Linked DNA regions of Drosophila melanogaster. The gene in region 1 interacts genetically with each later gene. Each region holds a gene or a part of one and is shown in the gene's direction. Other genes may lie near its edges. The genes, in order: wdb, Akt, pbl and foxo.

Evidence for each region.
Region 2: of wdb (region 1) and Akt, changing one suppresses a phenotype caused by changing the other (phenotypic suppression), as found in Drosophila melanogaster (2 studies listed by BioGRID).
Region 3: of wdb (region 1) and pbl, changing one enhances a phenotype caused by changing the other (phenotypic enhancement), as found in Drosophila melanogaster (one study listed by BioGRID).
Region 4: of wdb (region 1) and foxo, changing one enhances a phenotype caused by changing the other (phenotypic enhancement), as found in Drosophila melanogaster (one study listed by BioGRID).

Annotation. Positions count from the first base shown.
Region 1 is NT_033777.3:27,579,195-27,583,870, reverse strand, and holds the start of wdb (widerborst), read left to right. Parts: upstream 1-1,629; 5' UTR 1,630-2,282; intron 2,283-2,327; exon of another isoform or gene 2,328-2,727; intron 2,728-3,545; exon of another isoform or gene 3,546-3,714; intron 3,715-4,676. Other genes in the region: pins (partner of inscuteable), read right to left, coding at 1-783.
Region 2 is NT_033777.3:16,097,620-16,105,256, forward strand, and holds the start of Akt (Akt kinase), read left to right. Parts: upstream 1-1,608; 5' UTR 1,609-2,041; intron 2,042-3,140; exon of another isoform or gene 3,141-3,160; intron 3,161-3,280; 5' UTR 3,281-3,324; coding exon of another isoform or gene 3,325-3,567; coding exon 3,568-4,107; intron 4,108-4,175; coding exon 4,176-4,373; intron 4,374-4,438; coding exon 4,439-4,828; intron 4,829-4,891; coding exon 4,892-5,125; intron 5,126-5,193; coding exon 5,194-5,340; intron 5,341-5,411; coding exon 5,412-5,495; 3' UTR 5,496-7,637. UniProt on the Drosophila melanogaster protein: Serine/threonine kinase involved in various developmental processes. During early embryogenesis, acts as a survival protein. During mid-embryogenesis, phosphorylates and activates trh, a transcription factor required for tracheal cell fate determination.
Region 3 is NT_037436.4:7,908,908-7,913,616, reverse strand, and holds the start of pbl (pebble), read left to right. Parts: upstream 1-1,662; 5' UTR 1,663-2,158; coding exon 2,159-2,195; intron 2,196-4,278; coding exon of another isoform or gene 4,279-4,456; intron 4,457-4,709. Other genes in the region: CG8281 (uncharacterized protein), read right to left, coding at 1-1,010.
Region 4 is NT_033777.3:14,055,018-14,059,968, forward strand, and holds the start of foxo (forkhead box, sub-group O), read left to right. Parts: upstream 1-1,927; 5' UTR 1,928-2,007; exon of another isoform or gene 2,008-2,411; intron 2,412-2,723; 5' UTR 2,724-3,090; intron 3,091-4,951. UniProt on the Drosophila melanogaster protein: Transcription factor involved in the regulation of the insulin signaling pathway. Consistently activates both the downstream target Thor\d4EBP and the feedback control target InR.

The DNA of each region.
Region 1 (4,676 bases):
GTTGGCCCTTCGCTCAGCCGCGCGATCACCAAACTCTCTGGCAATGCGCAGTCGCTCCTGATGATGCTCAATGGCCGCTTGGAAATCGCCTAGTAGGTAGTAGGTATTTCCCAGATTACCACAAGCTCGACCTTGAGCACCACGATCACCCAGATCCCGCATGAGCTTCAGATTCTCCTGGTAAAACTCCACGGCACGGGTGAGCGCCTCCTTGACATCGTCGCCGAACTTTCCAGGGTTTCTCTGACCCAAGTGCTTGCCCTTGGCGTGGTAGACATTTCCTAGGTTGTAAAGAGCGCGTCCCTCGGACAGACGATCTCCCAGCTGCCTGGCCAGCGTTAGGTGCCTCTCGCAACAGATGGCCGCCTCGTCGAAGCGACCCATTACCTTGAGGGTGTTGCCCAGATTGCCAGAGGACTTGGCCTCGCCCAGTCGGTCGTTCATGCTCTTGGCCAGCGTAAGATCGTGTTTGTGGTACTGCATCGCCTTGTTGTAGTCGCCTAGGTAGAAGTAGGCGTTGCCCAGCTGGGAGTAGATGGCGGACAGAGTGCGAAGATCCTCGGTTCCGGCCTGAATGGCCGCCTGGAAGAAGGCCACGCCCGCCCGGCAGTCACCCGCCTTGCAGAGGCGTTCACCCTCGAGGGCCAGTTCCAGGCACATACTGGATCCTCCGTCGGATCCGGAACCCTGCTGGGAGTTGCCGTCGTGGGAAGTAGTTCCTCCTCCGCCCGATCCCAGTCCCAAACTGGACACATTCTCCGCGGACGCAGAGAGCGAGGACATTCTGCTGCGAAGTCTCGCCTTTTTGTCGCGATGCTCCTTTTTGAGGGGCAGGTGCTCTGAAAACTGGGAGTTGTCCACTTTGCGGCGATGTTTTGGGGTCGATCTTTGGGGTTTTTAGCTAGCCTCTGGCTGGTTTTGAACTGCTGGTGGGTAAACTTAACTGCGACAGGTGAAATTTCAGCAATTAAGCGATCTTTTGTACCGTTTTTTTGACTAATTAGTGCGTTTCTGATTCACGACCAGTGTGACCGATTGGGGTCGATGAGAATACCAAGCAGATTAGAAAGAAATACCAACTTTATATGGTATGTCGTTGGATTTAAAAATAATATCTGTTATATTTTGTTTTAAGTCAATTGAACAATTTTAAATTACTTGTTATTTTTCCCCTACAACAAAGATACTATGAAAATTATATAAATAATATGCCTTTACCTCATGACCATAGCTTACATATCAGCAATATTTAGTAGCCCAATTGGTAATATTATATATATAATTACATTGTTTGATGGTTAATGTATGCATGCCGTTTGATTTAAAACTAATTTTTTTTTAACTTTAAGAAAAAGCAGTTTAAATTCATTTATTAGAATTCGAATTAGAAATCTTATCAGATGGTTGCCCTAATTTGAGAAATGTTAGCCACTGCAAGACCATAGCTTATAAAGGATCAATACTTATGAGCCAAGCTAAAACACAATTTTATCATAGTCTTTTCTTATTTTTGTAACGTATTAGTAAAATCTAAAATATATTGGCATAGTTAACATTTATCATTTTCGGTCAACAAGCCATAGCCCTCATCCCTATCAACCGTAGTTGGTAGCCAGCACTTTTGCAGACGCGCTTTGCAACACTAATCGCTTCAAAGATGGCGTCACTTCTACGGTGTCTGTGTGAACGATTCTAGTTGCCGCTGGAGAAAATTCGTAATTCTCGCATAAAGCGCACCTGCCGGTTACCAAAATCGATTGAAAAGCGAACGTCCCATATTGCGGCGCGATAAGCGGGTGAAATTGTGGCAGTGCGTGCGCGATAGACTGTTAGAAAAGCAGTGCAAATTGGAAGTCCGGATGCTCGAAGGTGTGTGTGTGCGTCGCTTTTTTTGTGCGGTTTTCAGCTGCAGTCGGCCAACAGTGCAACGCAAACATTGTGTTCTAAATTACATAAAGCAGGGAATTTCTGCACGAAGGCAACCGAAAAAAGGACTAAAAGGAAAAAATTAGCCACACAAAAGGAGAGCGAGTGCGACAGGGAAGGAGGGATACAGAGCGAGCGAGAGGTCGATAACGATAGCCTTGTTTGGTTATCGCCCTCGATAGGAAATAAAAACGGGAGAAAAACTTGAAAGCAGCGGCGTCTTTCAGTTCGCCGGTGTGCCCGTGCGTTGGATGGTATTTTGTGGTATTTTCATTCATTTTTGGGACTGTAGTGTGACCGTGTGTGGGAGAGAGCCGCCTAAATAGAGAGCGCGACGCGCAACAACAGTTTCTGTGGTGAGTTGAAACGAAACTCACCACGCTCTCACCCAGAAATCTGGCACAGTGGTCTCGAAACAAAAGCCAAATGAGTAATCGCACCTGGGGAATCTAGCTAAATATCAGCACCAAACAATTGAAAGTCAGCTAGATGAAAACAATAACAATAGTAATACTATTCGAAGTACTAATACTAATCAATTGGAGGCAGGCTTTTCGTTTGTGTGTGCCTGCTCCCTCTCGCGTATAGTATATACCCATGTGCCAGAGAGAGCAAGCCGAAAACGAAAAGAGAGCGCGAGAGTCGGACGAAGGAAAAAAATATCGCCACAGTTGCCGTATGCCGCCTTCGTCGTCGGTTGCAAAAGATATAGAAATCTTTTATATACACACATACGCAGTCGGTTTTTAATAAATTCTGCAGCGAAAATTCCAAGCCCGAATAAAGAAGGAGAAATAAAAGGCAACTAAACAAAGCCGAGTGCAAAATTAAAGCCAAATTTCCAAGGCGAATGCAAATTTTTCAAGTGCGCAGTAAGCGGCTAAATCCCCAGACGCAATTCGGTGTTTCAAAAGTTTTAATAAATAAATAAATATGTAATTACGCTCGCAATCCAGCCAGCCCGCACACACACACGCACACACAAATACACGCACGCAATCGGTTAGAATTCGTATGAGCATATATATTTTTTACTTATATTATTTTTAGAATATCGATTTTGTGCCGCGTGCGTGTGTGTGTCTCTCTCGCACCGAGTGTGTGTGCCTGTGTGTGTGTTTGAAACATACATATTTATGATAAGTGTGTGTGTCAAGCAGTAAAATGTGTTAAGAATTATGTTCATATAGACACAAGTTACCTAATCTTACTCCTCTTACCTAAATGAGGAAAAAGGCAAAATAGATGAAAGGAATCAACAAACCGAAGTGAAGCAAAAGATAGAGCAAAGGCAACAGCGAAAAGAGCCCCATCAAAACAGCTGCGCTCTCTCACCTTTTACTCATCTTCCCATCCTCTCTCTCTACCCATTCACATTCTTACGCTTCTCCCATTCCCCAAAGTGCGCCCCACTCACTCACACACGTTCGCCATTAAAGATCTTTGTGTATTTTGCTTTGACACCGCATTTACATGTGTTGACCCCACTTGGACAACACAGCCCCCCCCCCCCCTCCCATTCGAACAACCCCCTCCACCCGCGCGATGCGTTGTGCAAAATTCTCTCGTGAACTACAGTTCTAATTCAATTATGCCAACTGCTATACACACATCCACAGTGAAAACCAGCAAGCAGCGCTAAACCGCCAGCCAAAAGCAAAGATAAAACGAGAAAAAGCATCTCCGTGACGTAGGCAAACGCGAGAGCCGAAACCGAAAACCAAAACTGAAACTGAAAAAACTGAGATATCGAGCAGACGAGAATTACAAACTCTGAAATCGAGAAAGGTATGCCAAGACCAACGGAAGTTGGCCCACAGCGAATTTGATTCAAATCGATGCCATTTTGGGCTAAAAGCTCGCTCCATTTCCGTTCCATGCCTAACCCTTGGATAACTAATGTGCCATAAATGAAACTACTAGAAATTCAAATTCAAAATGCTCAGAAAAACAGGGGTTTGAAGGAAGGAAGTCCATCAATACAATAGAATATCATTACCCCTTTCTTATTTAATTAATAGTTATTATTATCCACGAAACACGTAAACTTAAATATCAATTTATATATACTATAGCACATCAAATTGTTAAATGTGTTAAATCAAACATAATGCCAATTGCCAACGTCACCTCAATATGAAATGTCTTAACGAATTAAATAAATGTGGCCAAGGGGTTAAGCCATAACCACCGATTGAAAGTCAGGCAAATAACTGGTTCTAATTGATTGAGTGATTGCTTGAGGGGGTGGGTCAGTGGGGGGGGGGGGGGCAGAACCTGCTCGGCAAATTAACAAGTTCCAATTGATATATACGTGTGGGGACACACGAAATTCGTCGAGCCTACTCGAAATTATCATAAATGTGTCAAAATGGTAAATCAATTCGAAGGGGCAGAACAACTTTAGCTCTATATAGATATATGTAGCTGTAGCTGTCATCGCGGTGACAAGGCCCTCGATTTGCCCTGAAATTAAGCCATTATATATCGCCGCACTGATCACTTTAATTATAATCCATAATCCATGTAATCCACAAGGCAACCCAAGCACGCCCAGCGTAAAGTTCCCAAACCGAACGTGACTAGGGTGCAATTAAGTGGCGATGAAAAAAAGATCACTTAAATTTTCAGCGATTTGATTTCCAGTTTCTAGCTGACAATCGCTTTTTATTGTTCATCCAAGCGGGTTTGTGTCAACTGGCCCACTGTCTATTTGCCCGTTAACTTGGCTTTGACGTCACGGATTTCTA
Region 2 (7,637 bases), about 11 Mb from region 1:
GCTGCGGAAGGGGGGCGTTGGTGGGTTAATGCGAAGTTCAAGGGCGTGACCAAAAGTCTGGACTAATTCGATTTGCACTGTTCTCTTTGCTGCGCTCTATCCAGGGGTGGATCTAGACAAACGTGCAGGGCATACCGTTCATTTCCAAACTTGAAATTACAACTTACATTTTTAAAATCAGTAACACAATTTTAATTCACTGAATAGTTTAAAGTACGGTATTTATGTGATTTGATTTTACAAAAACATTTAAGGTGCCCATAATCCACGTTTAAGGTCCCCTGGATTTCGCCCCTGTACTGCTCAGTCCTGTTCTCTTCGTATTGCTATCTCGCTCTTACAATTGCACAGCCACTTCGAGCAATGCACCCGCCCGCACAACAACCGTTATCTTGCCACGGTGTTTGTGTGAATGTGCACATTTGCAAATCACATAAACAATGGCATATTTCTTCACTTTTGCACCCACATTTCTTCTGCTGCGGTGGCGGCTTTACTTTTGTCATTGAGTCGTTGCCATTTGCCCTGTTTCTGTTATTATTTATTATTCAATTATGCGCTTTCTTTTCCACAGCTAGCATACATTTGTTTTGTTTTCACACGGTAACACACACACACACAAAGAAAGGGGGGCTCGTGGCTGCGTTGGTATTGATTGCTCGAGACTGCACTCTTCCCTTCTCTCTACACCATCTCTTCATATTTTTCATTTCTCCAACTAATTGAATGCAACCGATTCTGCCTCATTACTTATGCTCATGCTTTTCCAATTGCTCATATTCGGCGAACGCTCTTATTCGGCCACAGCCCACAGTGATACACACGATAGGCAGAAAAAGAAAGTTGAGAGTCAATAACACCTTTGTTTTTGCACTTTTCTACGCCTTTTTTGATAACACACACAAACATTGGGAGGGACTCACGCACACACAGTCGCGCTGGAGTCGTTATTTGTTTATTTGAAAGTGGCATGCTATGTTCTCCCTTCCGATTGGGTTGCAAGTTATTTACCTCGTTTTGTGCCAATGGGGCACTTTATTCGCTACTCGTTTTTTGTTTTTTTTTCGGATTCAAAGGAGACTTCGCGTTCTGCATAAACAAATCTGAGCAAGAGTGCCCAAAGAGGTGAATATCAAATTTGATCTGGGAAACTGGAAAAGAGAACTGACTTTTTCTAGCTACTTACACATGGTCATACTTATCAGAGTATCTACTTAGTGCGGACAGGAACCATATATAAAATTGATAGGGCTTCCAAATTTTTGATCAATTATGCTTTGAAAAGTTATAACAATTTGTCGATATAAGAAATAGTTTTGTATACATAGCATATAAAATAAAGTTTTTAAAAATGAATTTAATAACAATACAGCATTATTATTAATCTGCAGTTCATACATTCAAATTTGAAGTGAATTCTAGTTAAAGAGTCGGCCTAGACAGTCAGAAAACAGAACTATTGCCTTCTAAAACATTTAATTTAAATTTAAGGGATATTTGCGCGTTGTACAGCTCTTAAATAATGTCTCTCTCTGGCATCTTTCCACCGTAACAGTCGCCTAACTATCGCTAAAACAGGTGGCAACGCGGATCGAATCAGTTATCGAGCCAGTTATCGAAAAAAAGTGAAGCGTAAAAACTAAACGGTACTTGGAAAATTTACTTTGCCTGTGTGCGTGCTTCTGTTTATGAAAACTACGTTTTTAAGCATTTGCAATTGATGCAACGTTGCTTTGGAAGGCAAGAAAACACCAAGTGGAAACGCCCGGGTGGCGGAAATCGACTTCCAGTGCGCGAGTGCGAGATTGTGTGTGTTTCGTTCCGTCCTCTGGTGTCTGGCACCTTAACACAACAACAACTACAGCAGCAGCAGCAACAACAACAATAGCAAGCAGCAACAACAACACACGCACAATAATAAGAAGGCCTGTGACGTTGTCGCTGCCGTCACCATCTAAAGGAAAATACCAAAACGAGTAGGAAAACAAACCGCAGTGCAGTAGGGAAAGCAAAAGTCGGGTTTTTTTTTTTACAAAACTAGGTGGGTTCTTGTATTTTTCACCAGCATTTCCACAATTTCCATTTCCACGAAGTGATTTGACATGTTGCGCTGCTAGGTCGCCGCTGCCCACACACACTCGCACACTCGGTGGTTCACTCACTCAGCCACTCACACCCACACGGCCAGACAATCACACGCACACGGCCAGACACTCACACATACACTCACACTCATACACCTTTGTGGCAGACACGCGTACTGTCTGTCTCCCTCCCCCTCGCACCCACAGTCTGGCCTCACTCGCACTTTGCAATGCAGCCCTGTCTGTGTGACTGCCTCGGTGTGCGAGCGCCTGTCCGCTTATGCCTGTGTGTGTATTTTGTCGATTTTTATTTTATGTACATTTGTTTACAGTTTTAGATAGATAGCGACATTTGTACAGCCGGCGGCCATCCGTCGTTGACATTTTCGCAAATTGTAAATGAATATGCTTTTGCTTTTGCAGTTGTGCCAGTGTGAGTGCGAGTACGAGTGCGAGTGCCGCCTGCGAGTCCCCTGTATGTGTACATATGTATATGTATGTATTATATATGCATATACATAAGTTCATGAACAGTCGCCGCCGTCGACTTGTTTTGATTTAATTTCGCGCTAAATGCAATCGCGAACAATTTTCACTCGTATCGCCGTGTCGCTGCGTAACATGGCGGGGAATTTCGTTTGAAGCCGAAAGTGGCAGCAACAACAAGGCGACGATGGCGCCTACATCTGCATGTGGGCCAGTGACTAAGAATCCAATCCCATACCATGCCACACCATACCAACCCATCCAATTCGATACAATCAGAATCACAGTCCTCAATCCAATTCAATCCCTTTCTGGCGACGGAAATGCCGCAAATGTTTTGCACCAGCTGCTGACGCAAGCGCCAACTGCATTTGTCATAAACATGCAAAATGACAATAACAATTGTTTACTATCAGCGTGAGATAGGCGATGTGGGAAGTATATATCTGGATAGACTTGGCAGCCTTTTAGTGTCTGTTTCCCCTTTTTTGATAGCTAGCTCATTTGGGAACTCCATTTGTCCACTTTGACTAGTTTATGTCGACAGTTGGCGGATCAGTTAATATCTAGTACATGTTGAATCCCTGAAGGTAAAGGTGTTACTAGACGAACCCTCTGCTAAAGCCTTTTTCTTTTCGTCGATCGCATTCTTAGTTTAAGTATTTCAAACTCAGCATGAATATAAAGGATTCACTGTACTCCTCTTACAGGTCCCTCATTAGCTTGTCCCTAGGGTTAGTGAAACAGCCTCAACACGAATTACCTACCGTTTGTTCTTCAGCGGCGATCGACTGTGGTTGCCAGCGCCCCAGCGCCAGGATCTGCCTCTAGGATCCCGGAATCGCCCACCACCACAGGGAGCAACATCATTAACATCATCTACAGCCAATCCACCCATCCAAACAGCAGCCCCACCAGCGGCAGTGCAGAGAAATTCAGCTGGCAGCAATCCTGGCCAAGCAGGACCTCCGCGGCCCCTACACACGATTCCGGAACCATGTCAATAAACACAACTTTCGACCTCAGCTCGCCCAGCGTTACATCGGGTCATGCGCTTACGGAACAGACTCAGGTCGTAAAGGAGGGGTGGCTGATGAAGAGGGGCGAGCACATAAAGAACTGGCGCCAGCGCTACTTCGTGCTCCACTCCGATGGAAGACTGATGGGTTACCGCAGCAAGCCGGCAGATAGTGCCAGCACGCCATCGGACTTCCTGCTCAACAACTTTACGGTGCGCGGCTGCCAGATCATGACCGTCGATCGGCCCAAGCCATTCACCTTCATCATCCGCGGCCTGCAATGGACCACGGTAATCGAAAGGACATTTGCCGTCGAATCAGAATTAGAGCGCCAGCAGTGGACGGAGGCCATTCGCAACGTATCCAGCCGGCTCATAGATGTGGGTGAGGTGGCTATGACGCCATCTGAACAGACAGACATGACAGACGTGGACATGGCCACCATTGCCGAGGACGAGCTTTCCGAGCAGTTCTCCGTACAGGGAACGACTTGTAATAGCAGCGGCGTTAAGAAAGTGGTAAGTACCACTCACCTGGTCATTGACCAAGGGCGTGATCGAGCTGACTCCATCTTATCTCCTTGTAGACTTTGGAGAATTTTGAGTTCCTCAAGGTGCTCGGCAAGGGCACCTTTGGTAAGGTTATTTTGTGTCGCGAGAAGGCTACCGCCAAGCTGTACGCGATCAAAATTCTTAAAAAGGAAGTTATTATCCAAAAGGACGAGGTGGCCCATACCCTGACCGAGAGTCGTGTGCTCAAGTCCACAAATCATCCGTTCCTCATTGTAAGTATTGCTAGTAATATATAATTTACGTTAAAAAACTAATATATGTCTTCCCTGTTTTGCAGTCACTCAAATATTCGTTTCAAACCAACGACCGCCTGTGTTTTGTGATGCAGTACGTGAACGGTGGCGAGCTCTTTTGGCATTTAAGCCACGAACGCATATTTACTGAGGATCGAACACGTTTCTATGGGGCAGAGATCATTTCTGCTCTGGGCTATCTGCATTCACAGGGCATAATTTATCGCGACTTAAAGCTGGAAAATCTTTTGCTGGACAAAGATGGTCACATAAAGGTCGCAGACTTCGGTCTGTGCAAGGAGGACATCACCTACGGCCGCACAACGAAAACCTTCTGCGGTACACCGGAATACCTAGCTCCGGAAGTATTAGATGACAATGATTATGGCCAAGCGGTGGACTGGTGGGGCACTGGCGTGGTCATGTACGAGATGGTGAGTTTGTTGCATCTGCAAATACTATTAACAAGTATTAAAAACAAAAATAATTCCTTACAGATCTGTGGTCGTCTTCCGTTTTACAATCGTGATCATGATGTGCTCTTTACATTGATTTTGGTGGAGGAGGTAAAATTCCCGCGTAATATCACAGATGAGGCGAAAAATCTGTTAGCAGGCCTTCTAGCTAAGGATCCCAAAAAGCGTTTGGGAGGTGGAAAGGATGATGTCAAGGAGATACAAGCACATCCATTCTTTGCGAGTATTAACTGGACAGATCTAGTGTTGAAAAAAGTAGGGCACAGTAAATCTGTCAGTTACCTATTCGTATATATTAATCGAATTTAAAATGCTTACCGTAGATACCGCCGCCTTTCAAGCCTCAGGTGACATCCGATACGGATACAAGGTACTTCGACAAGGAGTTTACGGGAGAGAGTGTGGAGTTGACGCCGCCGGATCCCACTGGCCCGTTGGGCTCCATAGCCGAAGAGCCGCTTTTCCCGCAGGTAAGATCTAGTTGAAAACATTTAAAGTGGGGTTCTGTATGCTCATCCAATTTTTGGTTTCACCGCCACAGTTCAGCTACCAAGGAGACATGGCCTCCACGTTGGGCACCTCGTCGCACATTAGTACTTCCACAAGTCTCGCATCGATGCAATAGAACAAGTTTACAAACTTTTACCAGCACACATCATGTTCTGCTTCATCACCTATTACTATACTATACCTATAACACATAGAAATGGGCAAAAGAAAACAACAGCAAGAATATATTAAATATTAATTATACCATGATAACGAAGGCAAGCAAAGGGTTTTCTTGCTAGTTTATATACACCAATAATAAGAGAATTGAATTGATAGTAACTTATTTTTGTATAATGAGAAAGGGAACGTTGAACGAAAGGGCAACAGCCGAAGCCGAGGAAAATAATTTACTACATATGATTATACACATATATATAAATATATATATATATATATATATAATTATATATACAACTAAATATAACACTTGGGGCATAGCGCTTGAAGTGATTAGTTAATTTTAAACGCAAGGAAAACATTTAACCAAGCGACTTAGAGCGACTTAGTGCTAGGATAAAGCATGCATCATCGGATCGCATCCTCTAGGGGTCGCTTAAGCTGATTGATTATACAGATTATTCACGCAGACAGCACTCACACAGCCACTTAGCATATAGCGAACATGAAGTTTAGTTAACTTGACAGCAACAAATCGAAATACACATATTCAACAACCGCCCCCACATGCAACACTCGTATATATAAATTATTTATACTCCAAAGAAGCAAAAAAGAAACAGAAACAATTACAAGTTATATATAATGTTAAAATTGCCTCTAATGTGCTGTGCTTTATGCAAAACTACAACAACAGAAACAAACAAACTAATAGTTAATAAACGAGGGAAACATACATCAATGCAGTTTATAGGCGCCAATAATTAGCAAGCAACTAAAAGTTATATTCAGGCAGAAACATATTTCGAAACAATAACGGCAACAGCAAAATGATTACAATTGACGCCATTTTTTATTATAATTTTTTACGAAAAATATATATTTGTAAATATTTATAAAAAAAAAGCAAAAACTCAAGAGTAAATGCAAAAAAAAAACAAAGGATGTATGTGTCGTGTGGAAAATGGAAGTCACCATTTGAGGCCACAGAAAAGGTTTAACCTTTGACACAATAAAAAATGTATCTTTGTCATTTCATTTTTGGCATTGAAAAGTTCATAACAAGTTTTGTATACTTAGAGCAAGTCAGCAAAAAATATATATAAATCAACCACAACAGACTTACAAATAGTTCCAAAAGGAAGATTAAAAATTATATAAACAGAAAAAAAACCTAAAAGAAAATAAAGAATTTTTGATATTTTTATATGCGCAATAAAAACAAAAATCAAGAATAAAACGAAACAAAAAGTTATTTTATATTTCGTAAAGAAAACAAAATAAATATTGTAAATAAAAATTATTAAATAAAATCAAGTTCGGGAATTTCAACTGAAAACAAAGAAATTGAAAGCATAATCTCTCTTCTAAATGTTAAACGAAACCTATCACTCGATGATTACAATAAACAGCAAATCGAAAACGAAGGGATATAGAAACGAAAAGAAAATGCCAAAGAAGCGGCGAAGTTAGGTGGAACTCGAGGAGAACCGAGAATTGAGGAGCCAGCAAGTCGGGATGTTTCGGTTGGAGTCTTGGACATGTGACGATGATGGTTCCAAATCATGACTAGGAACGAACTAACTAGCTAAAGCCAGCCTATGCTGAGGAGAGATATCAGATAGCTCCGATTGAACCAATCTTTATATCCTTGAACAGCTTAAAGTCCTTGCTTTCTGCTCACCAAGTTTGCGGCTGACATCTAGGCTAGCCAATATCAATCTCAGATCGATCAAGCAATACATAGACAAAATATAGAACCCCTAAGCATGGCTTAATAGACATACAACCCGAGAATCGACTTCAACAAGCCCAATAACCCTTCTGACAGACTCGTTAGGCAAGTCTGCCAGCCAAGGGGCAACCAGCTAGAAATCTAAAGCAAAGACTTAGAAATCGGTTAGGGACATCCGAAGCAAATTGAATACTAGCCTTAGTGAACGTCAACATCTCTGGTATCCCAAATCGAAGCATTTTCTACCCGTCGAAGGGGACGAAAGAGACCTTTCAAAATAGTTGTCTAAGTTTACTGAGTTGTGTGAGACAATTTTTGGTTTCGATTAAAAAAAAAAAAACAAAAACTTACACGAACTGCAAA
Region 3 (4,709 bases), on another chromosome or scaffold:
CCCGGTGGCCCACCTCCTCCCCCGCTTCCGCTCGCTCCCGACACATTGGGCTTGGATTCGCTGGAGGTGTGCACACTGGGGCTCTGTGATTTGTCCTGCTCCTCGTGACCATTTGGCGTTTCTTCGTAGCGAACGTAGGGTTCGAAGCTGTTGTTGATTTGCACAGATCCGCGATGCAGATTGTTGGACTCGGCCTCGAAGAGAATCTCGTTGATGAAACGTTCGGCCAGAAGACGCTGCTCGCGCGGCAGTCGCTTCAGTTTGTGCGTCCAGGTGCGGGCGATGGACTCCTCCTCCGGATATGTGCCAGCCAAATACTCGCAGGCTATGTTGAGTAGTTCGTCGGTGTTGTGGGCGGTGCCTGTTGCCCCAGGACCGCCAGTAGATCCGGCTCCTGCTCCCGTACATGGCGGCGTTTGCCTGGCTCGCTTGCTGCTCCCATAATCCACATGGTTGGTTGCTGGCGGTGGCGGTGGCGGAGCTCCAAATGATTTGTGAAACATCTCGGAAATGTTGGGCGTCTGACCACCAGCGCGTGGTGCTGGATAATGGAGGGCTGCTCCCTGGCTCTCCAGAAACGCACTCGGGCAATTGCTGCTCTCACCGAAGGCGAAGTTGGGCTCGTTCTTAAAGGCGGGATTGACGGCTAGAAACTTCTCCGAGTTGCGCAGAAAGTCCAGCTCCTGAAAGGTCCAGCAGCGTGGACTGTGGAGGCTGCCCGATCGCAGGGCACTCTCCACCACCTTCAGCTCCTTGCGGTAGTTCGTGCGCAGTGTGTTGATCTTCTTTTTCACATCCTCCACGGTGGCGTCCCGCTTGAGATAATGGTATATGGGCACCAGGCGCAAATAGGCCTCCGCCCGCTTCTCCCGATTGGTGTAGTCCCGCAGCGATGTGTCCCACAGCACGGGCAGATCCCTGTATGTCTGGATGAAGGCGCGCAGATAGTGTCGGTTCTCCTCCGCTCCCGACATCACCTTCAATCCGTGCGGCGGCGTTTGTGGCAGCATTTTGCGCGGATCTCTGGATTACCCTCTGCCAATCCACGCCAGCTGCAGTCCTTGGCTATCTTCACCACTTCAGCGAATCCTGGATGGACCTATTGACCAACTGTCAATGCGAACGAACTGTGTTTGTTGTAATTGCGCGTTTGACAGATTGTTTGCCATATTGACGTAATGGTTGTGTGCGAGTGTGCGTGAGCGTGAAGATACAGCAACAAGTGCGGACGTAGTGGCAATGCTTGTCACTGGTATCGATACTTCGCCAGCAGTATTTATCGGTCAACTCGTTGTTATCAAGCGCGTATATTTAAACAAAGTAGCACAAAAGCAAGTAGTTTTAGGCATTCATTTATTAAATATATGAGCAAGCATACATAAAATTAACTGTAGCTTATATAGCTTGCATGAAAAATATGATTGGAGGCTACAACTGCAACAATAGTAGGATATTACCAAATTTAATTTATCGACAGGCCAAAAACAACTTAAACGAAGAAAACAGTTCTAATTGATTGTTAATATAGTGCAGCTTACAACTATTTTATAGCCATAGTCGTTTAATTTAGTTATATAGCATTACAGGGAATACCTTCAACCCCTTGCAAGTGTGACCATTATTTAGCGCCGATTGATTCTGGTATTTCGTTCATCACATTTGCGCGTATTTCTTGGCGCCCCCGCGACGGTTACACTGCGCGGCACACTACAGCGAAAAAAATTCGAAACAGACGCGTTTGTCCGTTGAGTTTTGATTTGTGATTCCGACGCGCAGCCGTTGAGCGCAATTCGCTTACATTGTTGATCATTTTGTTGGTTAAATTGCTAAAGCAGGTACGCGGTATCGCTAACAAGAGGACGAAGAACCGGGCGACGCTGCCTATGCGCGTCTGTGTGTGTGTGTTTTCGTGAGCCGCCGCTTTTTAATTAAATAATAAATAAATTGTAACAAAAAGTAGAAAAACAAACAAACATGGAAATGATGCGCGCTAAATGCATGAAAACAGCGTCCAGTTAATGAAAGTAAACGAATCGAGTACAAACGAATTATTTGTCTCCTTGTGCGTTCGTTCTATTGTGTTTCGAGTTCTGTTGGTGTGTGTTTTTGTGTATGTTCCACGAGTTGTTCGCCTTAAAAAAGTAACTGCAGAAGATCCATGGAAATGGAGACCATTGAAGAGCAATCGAAGTGCGGTGAGTACTGAAAGAGGGCGCGGGGCGTGGCAGCTCCAAATGGCCGGCGAATTTATCATTTTTCAATGTCGCCCAAAGGGGTTGGGTACGGGGTAAAACCACATTCGGGGCCAAAAGATCCTCATAAAAAATGTCGCTGCCAGCAAATGCAAAAAAATAAAATGAAATAACAACGACTATAAGTACATCTTTGTGTGTATTTGTGTGACTAAAAAAGCAACGGCATCGTGTCGCAGATATTTTAATCTTTTTTTCTGAATTTATTTCGGTGTAGAAAATATTTATCGCATAAATGCGAAATGCCTCCCTCTCTTCATCATCGTTTCCCCTCACTCTCCCTCTCTTCGGCGACACTGTACCGACAGCAAGAACAACAACAACAACTGAGGCGCCCTAACTGTTGTGAGAGTAAAAAGAAAGGACAAGCAACAACAATTTAAGCGATCAGTTCCTGTTATCATTGATGCGAATTCAGCCGTTTTTAGCCATGGAGTTGTAGCTATAAAAGAAAGTAAACAAGAAACTATCGAATCTTAAAAAAGTAAACAATTAACAAAAGATAGATTTAGGTATTGATGGGAAAGAGAAATCTCTGCTATAAAGTTTTTATTATATTTTTAACATTTTTATTTAACTAAAAACAAAATTGTTTCTAGGCAATTAAAATTGTTATACTTTCCATAAGCCTACGATTTCCGCAACGAGAACGTGTAACTGCAAATACCACACAATTTCAAAGGTTATTGCCTTAAAAAATACGTGTAAATATGTTGTACGGCAGGAATTTTTCCAGCGCGCGGCATAAACAAATAAAATTATCATTTAATGTATTTTGTGTCCGAATTTGAGGCGCAAATAAAGCATATATCAATTAAAAGTTTATAATTTGGTTAGGTTATAAAATCAATTCTCCTTTGATGTTATTTAGCCTTTAAATGTGCATATGTATGTAGATACTTTTGAAATCAACTCTACATGATATCTTTGTGTACTTATTCTGTCTGCTCCGCTCTAATACTTGCCGCCAGGTAAGAAGAAGAATTTATCCTGCTCGACAGGCTCTTCGCTCCTTCTACTTCCTCCTCTTGTTGCACAGAATCCTTGATCCTTGCTTTCCGGGTGGTTTACCTACCCCGCTGGCCGATTACCTCGTATTCCATTTACACATGTTGACAGGGCGCACATGCCCATACAACTATGACTATATAGCCTGTAGTCCGTGTTTTCCGTCCCTCAATGCTAATGGCATTTTACATGGCCCGCAGACCTTCGGAATCTGCTCTTCGCCTACGTCAAGGCTTCCGCGGGATACGTACGTAATTTTATTACAAGATTTTTCTTTGATGACTCTGCTCTGCTATTTGACAAAATCCGCTACACAGCGAGAAATTGGTTGATTTTATGTATAATTTAAACTTGCAGGTAAACTGAGGTTTTTTTTTCTAGAGATTTAAAGTAATTTTCTAAATATTATTCCAAAATTACAAAACGTCTTTCGTTTAAAACACAATTTTTTTACATAAAATATTTTATTTTTGGATTTCATTGTCACTTAAAAATGCTTTTAGGTCTAGGTCAAAAGCAATAGACACGAGAATTTAAGTAAAAATCAAAAATTGTCATTTTGGGTTAACTATGATTTCGCATAGGACATTTTTCGCTGCGTGGCTGAATGCCCAGAAACCCACACACACAGCCCTCTTCTTCCGATGGCTTTTCATTTCTCAGATGCCACTCAATTAGTTTTTCATCGTTTCCCTGGCAGGCAGCCAGCGAGGAAAAGTAGAAAATAAATAACAACAGCGGATTTTGTTCGGGCAAAAAGGAAGGAAATTCCCGAATGGCGAAAAATGGTGGCCGCCACCTGTGAGTCTCGGCACTTTCTCACACTCGGAAATTTTGCTTACCATTTTGCGTTTACCTTTTCTCCTGACCTCACTTACATACCTTCTTCTTCTTGTTTGAACCGAAGAAGCTACCACCTGTGGCCATGCAAAATGCGATTTCAGGTGTTCCCTCAGCCTGAGCTCGTCTTGCATTTAGTTATGTTTTAGAGCCCGATCCTTGAGGATCTGCGAACAAAATGTTACACTTACCGCTGGTGCAGTTCAACTTTGGCAACCATTTGGGCAAAAAGAGCAACAAAGTGGTCACGGTTCAGCGACAATCCGCCTCCTATTTCACATATGCCGCCGACGAGGAGGTCAAACAGGCGAAGCTTCGACAGGCCGCCTTGTGTCAGGTGTACGAGGATTTTACAGGTATTTCAAGATTCCCAGATAAACCCCTTCAGGTACTCGTTTCCAAGGGTTGAATATGCGCAAAAGCAAGAGCAACATATTCGCCAGAGGGAAACTTAAGTAGGGTAAAGTCTTTCGTGAATCATCCATCCATTCAGCCAGACCATCGACAAACACCTGGGAAAGGTGCAGGAACAGTAAAAATAACTATGTATTTCATAAATAAATATATTACTTTCCGAGGAAAGCATTCGATGTCATGTTAAGGTGATAT
Region 4 (4,951 bases), about 14 Mb from region 1:
ATTTTTGTATATTTTCTGTTTTTTTTTGCCGCTGACAATTATGATCAAGTATTAGCTGGCGATAGCTGAAACGTCTGTGTAATTTCAATGGAATGGAATGGGAAGTGGGCGGCCTATTGATACACTGCTCGAGTGATTTTAACTTTTATCTGATCATTCAAACGCATAAATTAGTCTTGAGAACTTCAATTCATTTGATACTCCAGTTAACATGCTATTTACATGCTCATTTAAATGGTAGTAGTGATTTATAAGCCCACTTCCAGATGGAACTTACCTATACCAACGTGTTACTTATCGTTCTTAAGCCAACTTAATAGCATTCTAAAATATATATGTATCTTTTGGCGGACTTATCTTCTTGTTGTTCTCGCATTCCAAAATCTCTATGTACATGCAAACTTTTATTGTCATAACTCGGGACTTTGCAGACTTTGAGGCCTATTTAATAGAGCTATAATCTTACAACAAAAAAAAACTAAAAGAGCTTTTTAAGCAATAAAAATATTCTGAAAAATTACAAATTAACAAAAAATTACCCAATGAAGCCTGCAAATTTGAAATCTTTAAGATCCTAGATATGCCAAGATGCACCCTAAAGTCCTTAACTCATCTCCTTGGCTCGTTTCTAATCCCCCCTCTCGAGGGATCGAGACGATCGCATCGGGTCGGTCTTTAAGTTTGGATGATCCATAAACTGTTGGTTTCTCCGTCCTCAGCGTCTAGACTTCATTAGCCGTGTAATGTTGCGGAATTTATGTGGCAGGCACATTAAAATAACACCGATACACACTCTCATGGACGCGAACGTGTGTACAAGTATAGAGATATCGGGCCTAGGCGAAAAATGAAATTAAAAAAAAAAAAAAAACTGGCACCGGGAGGGGCTTATTTTTCGGTGGTCGGGGATGCGGGGGACTTTGACCATAAAATACATGCTCCCAAAAAGCTCGCACACTGCAAGAGATGCGGGGCACTTCTGAGTCCCATATTCATATGCACAAATGTGCATTGCTGGCATTATCAGTAGAATGCAATTTCGGGAAATTTTCCATCGCATCACGAGACAATGAACGTAAGAGAGAAATGGAGCCTCAAAGAGGGAGGGAGAGAGAGAGCTTGAGTGAACGAGCGAGCGACAATCGCGAGATAACGGCTGCCTTATCAGCAATGCCGACCGCCCCATCACCCCACCCAAAACGCCCAACCACCACCCACCGCCGCCGTTCCCTTTCCTCCATCGTCGAGAATTTCGAGTTCAGAGCAGCGCGACCGAAATGAAAAGAAACAATTTAAATTCCAAATGTATAAAATAGGTAAACTATGGCTTTTATTTATTAATATTGACGGGGGCACAAAGGCGGTCACCTCAATAGTGAATAACATGTTTTTTATAATGAATACTTTTCAAATTGTTATTAATATGCAATGACGTCTTAAATGTTTCACTGCAGCTGAACTTTATTCTTTTCATTAAAACAGTCACCCGTTATTAAAAATAAATAGATTAAGTTTTATATTATTAAATTTGTAAGTATTGAAACAATTCCTTTTTTATTTTATACGAATTATCATTTAGTTGGGGTTAATATCCCTTAAAGAGAGAAATTTGTATGCTTTAAGATTTAAAATATCTATTGCATTTATAGCTATAGCTATAACTTCTCTTATTTCACGCAGAAAATACTCAAATAAAACATATCGATTTGGCATACCCCACTAATTTTTTGGCCCCAAGTGTGTGAGAGTGTGTGAGACGAAGCGCGCCACAAACATAAAAAAGCGGTGAAGTGAGCGGTTGTGGAACGTGAGTGGATGCTAAGAGCAAGCTCTCACATACGCGGACATAGGTCGCACACACACACGCACAGACCGCCTTTTTGCGCCGCCGAAACGAACACTTTTACGAAGGCGACGGCGAATCAGTTTCAGTTGTCAGTTCGCATCCAACTAGAAAGCAGTTAACGAGTAGTCTGTGTTTTTTCGCTTGCGGTTAAAAGCCACGAGGTCGTTCATCGTTCATCGTTTTCCTTTTCAACTTCAAGCAAAGCAAATATAAACCAATGCAAAAAACGCAGTGATCTTTTGAGGCCCAAATCGTTTGGGGCCGAACACCGTTGATTCTAAAACGCAAATGTAGAAACAAATCAAGAAAGTGGAAAATAAATATGTTTCGCTTTCAAAACATGTGAATGTGCCGAACTCAAAACTGAAACGTAGAAGGAACGCGTTCGTTTTTTACATACGACAATCGTATAAAATAAGAGAAAAGCTCCAAAACGTATTAAATAGCGATGCTTGGATGATCTTCGTAGCAGTCACGTTGTACATACAAATACATACATATGTACCTACTATATGGCACATAAAATACGTTACGCACACTAGTGGCGAATAAAAAGCGAATTGGAGTAAGCTCCGAAACGTGTTTATATTAAAATTTTTTACCCATTTGAACTTTAAACAACTTTTCGACTGCGCCGCACGGTTTTCATTGAATTCTCATACGAATTCCAATTAAGTGTTGTGTGTGCGTCCAATTGGCATGAATTGATGACGTGACGTGATCGCTCTCTTCGCTCTCTCCCTCTCTTTCTTCGGCACACACACATACACACACTACGCTCTTTAATCGCGCCGCTCTCTTCGCGCTCTTTTTATTTGTTTATTTTGATTGTTGTTATATATATATTCTAATTTACCGTTTTTACAATCGTCTTTAGCTTAAGCAAAACCGCCGCCCAGCAACAACAAGAAACCCATTTAATGAGTGTGTGTGTGTGTGAGCAGAAAATTATGCCAACAGAATTCTAAAAAATATATATGTATATATTTAAATAACCACTAAAAATCAAGAAATCCGCACAAGTTTCGCTCAAAACAACAACACAATCATATATACTACCCATAAAAAAAAAACAAACCCATAAAAAAGTGCAAAGCAACCAGGAAAATAAAGTAAAACAGTGCCAGTTAACAACAGCAAACGGCGATCAACAAATCCCACCGGCAAAATCAACAATTTTTTAAATCGCAATCAACAAGGAGCAACAAATTAGCCAGCTATTTCCCATTGCAAACATTTGGCGGGTAAATATTATTAACAATTACGAGTAGGTGTACTTGATTGAATGAAAAATGTCATGTTTTTTAAGTTCCTAAATTCGATTCGAATCTAATCGGCAATTGATTGAAATATTCTAAAAGTCAAATTTTGTTTCGTCACGCGATTAAAAAAGTAATTGAAGCAGTGCTTTCCTACACATCAATTAAAATTTAAATTAAATGGTATTTTATGTTGATTACAACAACATTTTTTTTAGTCGCCACAATAAAATATTCATTCTTCCGTGAAATATTTCCAATATAAATTGCTATTGCTATATTTATAAAAATAAGCTTTGATAAAAGTTAAGAGGTTTAATAGAAACTAGAGTTAGGTTCTTTTATTTATATTGGTGTTTAGAATTTTAGATAGGAAAGCTGGACTTTTTGTTGTGTTAAAGTAGTCACATCTATTGAATTTACGACCCAAATTTTAATACAACCGATAGGGAATGTGATTTATAACCTTATTCGAGTAATTCCTAGTTTCACTTTCAAGATCAAAACGACTAGAATCATAAAGTCGGTCACGTTCGGCGCTGCAGTGTCGCTCCAATAGATGATCTTTCAGTTCGTGTGGGTTTTGATTAGTCCGTTTTGGTGTGTTACTTGTCATGGGAGTGGGCAGGGGAGATCTTAATTAGAGCAGCGCTGATAATGGCTCTAAAAATAGAGCCCCAGCGCCACACTGATAGCAGAGCTTGAAGCGTGTGTCGTTTGCGTGGAGCTCATTTCTTTCGTTCTGTGTTTGTTTGCTCCCCCGATTTTCGTATGCGATCCACTAAGGTCGATTTTGTTGCCATATTTTGCCAGCGATCTCGTATACGCACCGTTTTCAGATGCTTTTGAATATTCTCTTGACATCAGTATTGACATTGAAATGTGATTAGGTTTAATTTTCATAAATGGGTTGATTCGCCACTCGGTTAGCTGTCGAAAGAGGCTTTTTTATTCCCCATTTACAGATAAGGCTTTTATCTATTCGCAATGTGCCAAGGTACAACAGCAGCTGATGGCCCAAAAAAAGTGTACATATAAGCCTATACACACATCTGTATAGTCGTCCTATGTGCTTGCGATTGTGACTTTTATCATATCTTGAGTGTTTGCTAGCCACATTGGTGGAACGTGCCAGTTGATAACAAGAAAGTGTGCGAAAGTTTGTCTAAAAAGCTGTAATTGAAGCAGGGAAACCGGGAAGTCAATTAATTTTGAGAGACAACATTAAACGTATTCTTCGTATTCTAGTATTCTTCAAGAATTAGTAAAGCTCTTACTAATAAGCTCGTTTGAGAATGACGATAAGTTATATCGATAATGTCGATTTTACCGATAACCGAAAAACGTTAGTAATGGAAATTTAATGATCATTAAATGAGAGCCACTACATATTGTTTTGTTTAGAAAGATATAGTCGGAATACCAGTAGTTATTTCTTAGTATTATTTTGTGATTTTTAAATATTCTACTCAGATGTGTAGAACTTTTTTTCGAACGCTTCTTTTTGCTTAATTTATTTCGTTTTTCGCGCCGACCCCAAAAACGTTAGTAATGCAAATCGATTGCGTTTGCGAAGTCAGATGATCCCATCCATGATTTCCATGCGTCAGTTGTCCCAGCTGTCAATCGAAGATCGCCGTTTGGGGGCTCTACGTTCCTGGTTGACTTCGCCATCGGTCGAGTGGAATCGAATCGTTCGTTTGCTCTTTAATTATTGTAATGAATTCAATAAACATTGCAGGGCCTCTGCCGTTCATTTGCATTTGCGTTCGCACTCGCTGCATTCTGAACTATTGCACATTGCCTGGTCGGGCCTCTCCTTCTCTATATAGCGATATATATGTAT